2 linked regions of the Neurospora crassa OR74A genome follow. The protein of the gene in region 1 interacts with the protein of each later gene in a pairwise test. Links are inferred from orthologs where the notes say so. Each region holds a gene or a part of one and is shown on either strand. Other genes may lie near its edges.

What was found.
Region 2: the proteins of NCU03702 (region 1) and NCU02528 interact in a two-hybrid assay, tested with the Saccharomyces cerevisiae proteins (2 studies listed by BioGRID, with this or other methods). The link is inferred for Neurospora crassa OR74A from reciprocal best matches to the Saccharomyces cerevisiae genes NOP1 and PXR1.

The regions. Positions count from the first base shown.
Region 1 is NC_026505.1:2,139,372-2,143,843, reverse strand, and holds NCU03702 (rRNA methyltransferase NOP1), read left to right. Parts: upstream 1-1,597; 5' UTR 1,598-1,884; coding exon 1,885-1,999; intron 2,000-2,235; coding exon 2,236-2,296; intron 2,297-2,358; coding exon 2,359-2,593; intron 2,594-2,654; coding exon 2,655-2,980; intron 2,981-3,038; coding exon 3,039-3,205; intron 3,206-3,266; coding exon 3,267-3,334; 3' UTR 3,335-4,150; downstream 4,151-4,472. Other genes in the region: NCU03703 (60S ribosomal protein L17), read right to left, coding at 302-457, 550-737, 940-1,153, 1,342-1,344.
Region 2 is NC_026501.1:2,635,445-2,639,287, reverse strand, and holds NCU02528 (hypothetical protein), read left to right. Parts: upstream 1-1,414; 5' UTR 1,415-1,528; coding exon 1,529-1,551; intron 1,552-1,618; coding exon 1,619-2,684; intron 2,685-2,754; coding exon 2,755-2,775; 3' UTR 2,776-3,224; downstream 3,225-3,843. Other genes in the region: NCU02529 (hypothetical protein), read right to left, coding at 379-637, 747-859, 952-1,095; NCU02527 (hypothetical protein), read left to right, coding at 3,290-3,378. UniProt on the Saccharomyces cerevisiae protein: Involved in rRNA-processing at A0, A1 and A2 sites through its action in U18 and U24 snoRNA 3'-end final trimming. Negative regulator of telomerase through competition for binding to EST2 with TLC1.

The sequences.
Region 1 (4,472 bases):
AACATCATGCGGCTCTGCATCAGGGGCAGACAGGTACGTCACAGCCACTCTCAGAGCTCAGGTAACCCGCAGTTCGGTTTGGCGTCCCGTTGGCAATTACGCCAGGGCTTGAATGATTACTTGTTTCGCCGTGTCATGCTTTCTCAAATTCTTTTATTGAGTATTCATGATCGACCCCTTTTTCCCTGGAATCGTGACCTTGACCCGAAAAATGCCATGCTCGCGTACACCGTTCCGGAAAAAAAGTGAAGCCCTCAATCAAAACATCCCCTCGTCCAATCACCTAGCTATCAAAGCGCATTTAAGCGGCAGTGATGGCACGGCGGACGCGAGCGCCACGCTGGCGGGAGGAAAGGTGAGCCTCCTCGCGGACAACGGCCTCGGACTTCTGGACGACCTCATCGGCCTCAGTGAGGATGAGCTCGATGTGGCAGGGGTTGGACATGTAGGGGTTGATCTAAAACATAACTGTTAGCCAATGACCGGCTTGATCGTCTATCTGCCGGCGCAGAAGCAGAAATCAGGGGGGTATCTCCGGGTTTGACGTACGCGACCGTGAGCGCGGTAAGTGCGGCGGCGCTGCTTGGGGGCCTGGTTGACCTGGATGTGCTTGACAACGAGGTTGCCAGTGTCAAGACCCTTGGCATCGGCGTTGGCCTCAGCGTTCTTGAGGAGACCGAGAAGGAACTCGGCGGACTTGGCGGGCCAGCGGGCGCGGGAAACACCGAACTGCTTGCCTATATGACGAAGAAACGGTCAGCACCGTGTCTTCTATGTCCTCCATTCGATTGCGGTTTCGTGTCGGTCGGTCGCGGTTCCATCATGCTGACAATGCCCCCCTATTCCCCCGCCACTTTGTCCTCCCCACTGTCGTCGTCGTCGTCGCATGATGTACCGGTTCGGGTGTGTTTGTGCATGTAAATATCGAGTAAGTCGTACCTTGGGCGGCGCGGCCGGTGCCACCAGCGTAGCGTCTCATGGGGACAGCCTCCTTCTTCTCAAGAACGTTCTCGAGGAACTTCTGAGCACGCTGGAGCTTCCAGCCATTGATGGCCTGGGCGGTCTCACGGGTGTTCTTGAAGGAGACACGGAGGTAAGAGCCGCGCGAGCGGGCGGACTTAGCCGGGGCAATCTCAGTCGCAGCGTACCGAACCTGCGATTTTGAACAAGACTCGGTCAGCGATTCCCTCTCCTCCAAGTGCTCGCAATGCTCGCAAAGCCGTCATTGTCGTCCGTTGAGACTTTCGTCGTCATTTCGGCTGCAGAAGCCCGAAAACTGTCCTGAAGCAAAATAACGGCGGCGATTCTCTCGTTCGGCGGATTTCGCAGGGATTTACTCACCATCTTGCCTGCTTGTCGATGAGAGGACGGGGAATCGACCAAGTGTGATGTTCAGAGGTGGTGATGGGTTCCAATTTTGGCGTACAAAAACCGATTTTCGCGATTAGGGCTCTGTGGGCACTGCGCAGGTGGCTCGTGCGGACCGTCACTTTGCCTGAGGCACGTGCACGCGGGGACAGTAAGTGCTAGCGCCGATAACAGCCTGCCTCCTGGACTGCCGGCCGTGCACGATAGCATCCGCAACAAACTGGAGAGCCTCGACCGCCACGCCAGGACGACAGCCAATTGCAAAGGCAGAAGGCCTCGACCGGAAAAAAAAGTGCTCCAGCGATGAGACTTCGTGCCCCGCTTTTTTTTCTTTCAATCCATGTCCAGGAAATTTTGCACCCAGCTCCAGCAAAAGCTCTTTTCCGAGTCCTCGACAGCGCCGCGCGACAACTCTAAACCCATTGTGCCTCGCACGACTGATCTTACAACGCGTTTCGGCCCAGAATCGCAACTCATACCGACTCCGACTTATCAATACCGACACATTCTATAAAAATGGGCTTCGAGCGTGGTGGCAGAGGCGGCGCCCGTGGCGGTGGTCGTGGTGGATTCGGTGGTGATCGTGGTGGCAGAGGCGGCGCCCGTGGCGGTAGCCGTGGTGGCTTCGGTGGTGAGTTTGGCCTCAATGCCATCGCCTGAATGGTCTTTGCGGTTATGTCGTTGCTTCTGTTCGTCATCTTGAGAGATGTCTCTGCGTCTGCTGCGGCCCGTGGTCGCCATGCATGCCTCTTGACTTCTCGTAGTAGGATGGCGATTTCAGTCGAACTTCATATCGCAACTCGACTCAACATGCGATGGCAACAGCAACCACATTAACGCAACACTTTACTGACAATGACTTAACAGGCGGCCGTGGTGGTGGTGCTCCCCGTGGTCGTGGCGGTCCTCGCGGTGGTGGCCGTGGCGGGTACGTCTTGTGTTCAAAACCCTTGATTACTCCAAAGACATTGACTGACATTATGAGTATAGTGCTACCCGTGGTCGCGGTGGTGCCCGCGGTGGCGCCAAGGGTGGTGCTGCTGGCAAGAAGGTCATCGTCGAGCCTCACCGTCACAAGGGCGTCTTCGTCGCTCGTGGTGGTAAGGAGGATCTCCTCGCTACCGTCAACCTTGTCCCTGGCGAGTCCGTCTATGGCGAGAAGAGAATCTCTGTCGAGAACGCCTCTAAGGAGGAAGGTGGTGCTTCCACCAAGACTGAGTACCGCGTACGTTTTCCAGGCTTTCCAGCTTGTGGCCTCAGACAAAGACTAACATTGGACTTTGCAGATTTGGAACCCTTTCCGTTCGAAGCTTGCTGCCGGTATCCTCGGTGGTCTTGAAACCATCTATATGAAGCCTGGTTCCAAGGTCCTCTACCTCGGTGCTGCCTCCGGTACCTCGGTCTCTCACGTTGCCGATATCGTCGGTCCTACTGGTTCCGTTTACGCCGTCGAGTTCTCTCACCGTTCCGGCCGTGACCTCATCAACATGGCTACTCGCCGCACCAACGTCATCCCCATCGTTGAGGATGCCCGTAAGCCCATGGCTTACCGCATGCTGCTCCCCATGGTCGATGTCATCTTCGCCGATGTTGCCCAGCCCGATCAGGCCAGGTAAGCCGACTTATACAGATCCTTGACACTGTATGTGCCTGACACTAACACATTTCAGAATTGTCGGCATCAACGCCAAGCTCTTCTTGAAGCAGGGTGGTGGTCTTCTCATCTCTATCAAGGCTTCTTGCATTGACTCCACTGCTCCTCCCGAGCAGGTCTTCGCCTCTGAGGTCCAGAAGCTCCGTGAGGACAAGTTTTTCCCCAAGGAGCAGTTGACTCTTGGTACGTCCATCCGCTTCCCTTTTGGTTGATAGAGCCAACAATAACTAACAATCACCCACAGAGCCTTACGAGCGTGACCACGCCATGGTTTCTTGCGTCTACCAGCAGAAGGAGTTCGTCGATAACTGAGTTTCGAATTAGTACTGTTCTATCTTCGTTGCTCTGTTCTGGAACCTTCACATAATTCGGTGTTCTACTGGCAGGATGGTTTTGTAAATCTGGAACGGCGAATGGCGTTTGGGTATCTGCCTTGTTTTAGCATTGTGGGAATAAAGCACCAGGGTTCTTAGACTGATATCCGGAGTGACCCCGGTTGCTTCCATCTTACGCCGCCTTTCACGATCTCGTCACGACTCCTAAGTCACCGCGCAACGAACCTCCTGTTCACCAGCGAAATTGGCCAGCCTACAACACATCAAGAACGATCACCAGTCAATCACCCTAAGAACGAGAAGGGCGCTGGATAGTCAAGCAGAGGTTGCTTTTATCGGCGCTTAAAATGCTCGACAGCTTGGTTCGTCTTTATGGCGTTTGAAATCTGCGAACTGAGAGTCCCTCCCCTTTCATCAGGGTATCACGTCGAAAACTGAGACTATTCTGGCCATTCGAGTTTCAAAGGAGATTGTTTGGGCCTGGGGACGCAAGGGTACTGCAAGCCAGTCATTACATGGCTTTGAGGATTATTTAAACATGCCTAGAGTCTATCCAGGATCAAGAGGATGCTGGGCCGTTGGTTTCGCTTGTTGATGAGCAAATTTGAGCTTGCTTAGTCCTATAGATTTACATATCAGAGTTTTGGGTCATCTTTGCTCCTTATCATCGGCCTTGTCGGCGGTCTTGTTACTTCTTGAGCTTATTGTTTGTTGCTTTATTCGATGCTGGATATGCTCTGATCTATGATTTGCATGCTATCTAGCTCTTCGATATCTCACCCCATTGCCTCTACACCTTCCCCGTACTAAGCGCTCTTGCACCGCTGAAAATCTTATCTTCTTGGCTCGTTTGCTTGCGGCGTTGATCAGAGCTGACAAAGTAACTCAGGCGACAACATATCCCGGGACGAGACGCGCAGCGTTAATGGAGAGTACGGACAGTGTAAGTGTGATCCGTTACCGGGTACTAAGCCAAAGTACCTCTACAACTTGTGGCCCAAGCCAGGCTAAAGGATATATAATTACTATGGTCCCGGGGATATCTTGGTCGACGAGTATCGAAGCCAAGGTTGGCCGTGAGCAAGCCTACGGGGGTGAGGGCTGAATCAATTACG
Region 2 (3,843 bases), on another chromosome or scaffold:
TTATACGGCCCTTGCTACGTTCCTACTTTTCTTCACACGCCGCCGGGACATCGATCTTGTGGCAATCTCCATGGCCTTTAACTCAGCGCGGTGGTGTACGAACTATCTTGTCTTGCTGATTTTAACAGTCCTCATTCTGTTCTACTTGTTCTCTTTTCTCAATCCAGAGCATACGAGATTACGACCCGAGGCCACTGTGCCCGTCAAATGCGACCACCCAACACACAGTGACGAATTCATTGTCACCATCATCGAGTTCAGCACAAAGCGTTAGCAGCCTCCCACTCCTCCCTCATACCAATCTTCACCATCAGCAGCCGCCGATTTTGATGAAGCTTCCTTCGAGACCATGAATCCCTGCGCACCCTCAGGCAGCAGCTACTGGCCCGACAACCTGTCCACCTCAGAAGTAGCAGCAGCACCAGCACCATCCTCCGCAGGCTTCTCAGGCTTGGCACGGGGTAACATAACAGCCAAGTCTTTTCGACGACCCTCGTACAAGGCGCAGAGCTGGATACTGTGGTTGCTCATGATGCGCTGCACATCGGCCAGCTTCTTGGCAATGGCGGTCTGCTTTTGATCGCTGGCTTCTACTGCTTCCTTGAGTCTTAACAGACGGGAGATGTGCATGGCTGAACTGCAAGTACCATGGATAAACTACAATTAGAACAACAGTGGAAGGGCGAAATATTCTTTTAGAGAACGCGCCATTGGGACAAAGTGAGCGGTCTACCGGTTCAACTTACTGGAGATCATGGTACTTGGAAACTGACTTCCTTACGCGGTCTTGGATGGACGTGAGCGCGCCTTGATAGGCTGAGAGCAAGGCCTTGCGTTTCTTATCGCGCTCTTCTCTCGCCTGAAATTAAAAGAAATCAAGAAGTGAACTAAATGAATGCTTCGCTCACAGGAACCGTATTTTTGCTCGTTGTTGTTGATTGATGTTCATACCTTTTTGAGACGTGCTCTAGCCGCGCTGGCTTCCTGAAGTCGCAAATTGTATGCTTGGTAGTCGTCGTCGGAACCAGAATCGTCAAGTACGGTGTTAGTCGACTTTCGTTGCCTGGACTTGGCGGTGCTCGCCGAGGGTGCCATGTTTGCTCCAGGGTGTTTCCCTTGAACGTAGTCTTTTAAACAGTTCTAGTATTGGGCCAAAGACTGAATCATAATTGACAACTTGAGAAGGAGAAGTGTCAGATGAACAGAAGGAAGTTCGTCCAAATCTCACGATCGATTGATGTCCCCGGAAGTCGGCAGGCAAGTGTTTTCTCCACAATTATATCTGGAAGGAGCAAGTGACAGGCACCTCCCCTGCAGCAATGAACCGTAGTTCCTGAACTGTGTGGAATTTTCGGGCGGTGAAAGCTGGCAGATCTTTGATGGGATCGCAAGGCCCCCGCCAAAAAATTGAATGCCGTAGCACAGACAGGGCGCCCCGATTTCCGAAAGTTCAGTTGTACACCAAGCCCATTGACCTTTGACGACTCAGCACACAAGCTGAGAGCCTCGTCAACGACGTCGAGCAATCATGGGCCTCGCCGCTGCCAAGAAGTGAGCGCATATCTTGAGTGGCTGTGCTCCCTTTGTTGACTGCGTGCTAATCACGAAACTTCAATAGCAAGCGCAAACTGGGAACCGACCCCAACAACACGAAATGGTCCCGTAACGAAACCACTTTTGGCCAAAAAATCCTCCGCGCCCAAGGTTGGCAGCCCGGCGAGTTTCTGGGCGCCAAAGATGCTGCGCATGCCGTACATCACACGGAAGCCAGCTCGTCACACATCAAGGTCACGCTCAAGGACGACAACCTCGGTCTCGGCGCGAAACGAAACAATGGCGACGAGTGCACCGGCCTCTTTGATTTTCAACATCTCCTCGGGCGACTGAACGGCAAGAGCGAGGATGTTCTGGAAGCCGAAAAACAGAAGCGCGAGAATCACATCCGCAACCACTATCTGGAACAAAAGATTGGAACGATCCGCTTTGTCAGAGGCGGCTGGTTGGTTGGTGACGTGGTCAAGGAAAAAGTGACGGAAGAGGACGGCGTACCACAGAGCGATACTGTCGACCAACAAGTGGAGACAGTTCCCTCTCAGGACACCAAGGACGCCGAGCCCACAAAACGCAAATCCAAGAAGAGGAAGGCGGACAGCGACGAGGAAGACGAGAAGGAAGAAAAGAAGGACAAGAAAGTGAAGAAGCGGAAGACCGACACCGAAGCCGAAACAGACAGCGAGTCCTCCAGGTCAAAGAAGAAGGAGAAGAAGGACAAAAAAGAGAAGAAAGACCAGAAAGAAAAGAAGGACAAGAAGGACAAGAGGAAGCTGAAAGACGCGAAACAGTCTGAAGAGAGCTCTTCAGATGACCTAGAGTCGTCTGCTACGGAGACCAAGAAGTCGAAAAAGGACAAGAAGAAAGAGAAGAAAGAGAAGAAAGACAAGAAGAAGGATAAGAAAGAGAAGAAGCGCAAGGAAAAGGAGCTATCAGACTCTGCCACAGAAAGTGAAGACAGCAAATCGAAAGCTCAGAAGAGGACGAAAGACGGTGCTGAAATAGAGACGAGCACACCAGGTGGAAGCGGCACTTCCACGCCTACTGTTACATCTTCAACCCGATTCTTGGCTAGGCAAAGGTTCATTGCGCAGAAAAAGATGGCTTTCACGGACAGCGCTGCTCTCAACCAGGTCAGTATATCAACTCTGGTGAAATTCCCCGTTCTTTGAATGTCATCACTAACTAGGCCTATGTTCGCAGATTTTCATGATCAAGTCATAGAAAAGAATTGATGTGGTCGGTTGGGAAGCCTTCTTATGCTGCGTATTAGTTTCTTTTGTTCCACACCTCATCATCGATTTAGCGTTGCTTTTGACCCCAATTCTTCACACACATCATAGCAGCTTGTCTTGTCTAATGCAATTGAGTTGAAGATACCATTGTCATGACTCGACCAGAACCGCCAGTTCCTTCGCCCGTCATCCTGAACCGTGATCCCTCTGCGCAATATATGTTGATATATATCGCGGCTCCTTGACACGTGACTACGGTGCCGTTCACCGCACTTCCATTCTCGAAGTACCTCGGCTGTCGTGGCATTCGAGTTGAGACCGAACTGCTCGTCGACGCCCGGCAGGATGCTTGGGGATACGAAGGCGGGTCGATTGTGCCCATAACATCAGACCAAATGATGAATCTACTTCCTGGTATGATACTTGCGCGATCTTCTCTACGCCCATGTTCTATTATTCTTGGCAATCAGAGATTTGAAAAATTTCCTCATGTTAGATCAGATATGTCTGGTGCCTCTAGCGTTCCAGAGGCCCAGGCGAAGCGATGCTCAACGATCAAGAAAGATATCCAAAATAAAAACGCAGAAGAATGGTAGCACCTGCTCGCTGCGGCTCCATTGCGCCGGTTGATCAGTACTTCGGGCTTCGAACGCGAACTGGTTGCAGACAGTGACACTCACTGTCTGTCGCCTCGCGTCAGGAACCTCGTCTCTTTCGTGCGGAGGAAGTTTGTTCGCGACAACGAAATCCAACGACAGGACATCCACCATACCTCTCCGCTTTCTTCGCAAAACCTAAATTTTACAGTAAGGACGATCACCTTTTTTCTTTTTGCCCATGGAATTCGAAGCCATGATTTGCAGTTGGTTGTTGGTTTTAAGGAACTAAAAAGTACATCCGCCTTTGACGACCACTTTCCAGTTGGCACCCCTCGCCCTTCACTCACCCTTCACTCACCCCATATTCAACCATCTTCGATATCGCAGCGCCCAGCTGACTACTTCTTTCCCCGCACATTCTTCGCTATCCTTAGCACCAACCACCTTTGGCTGCATAT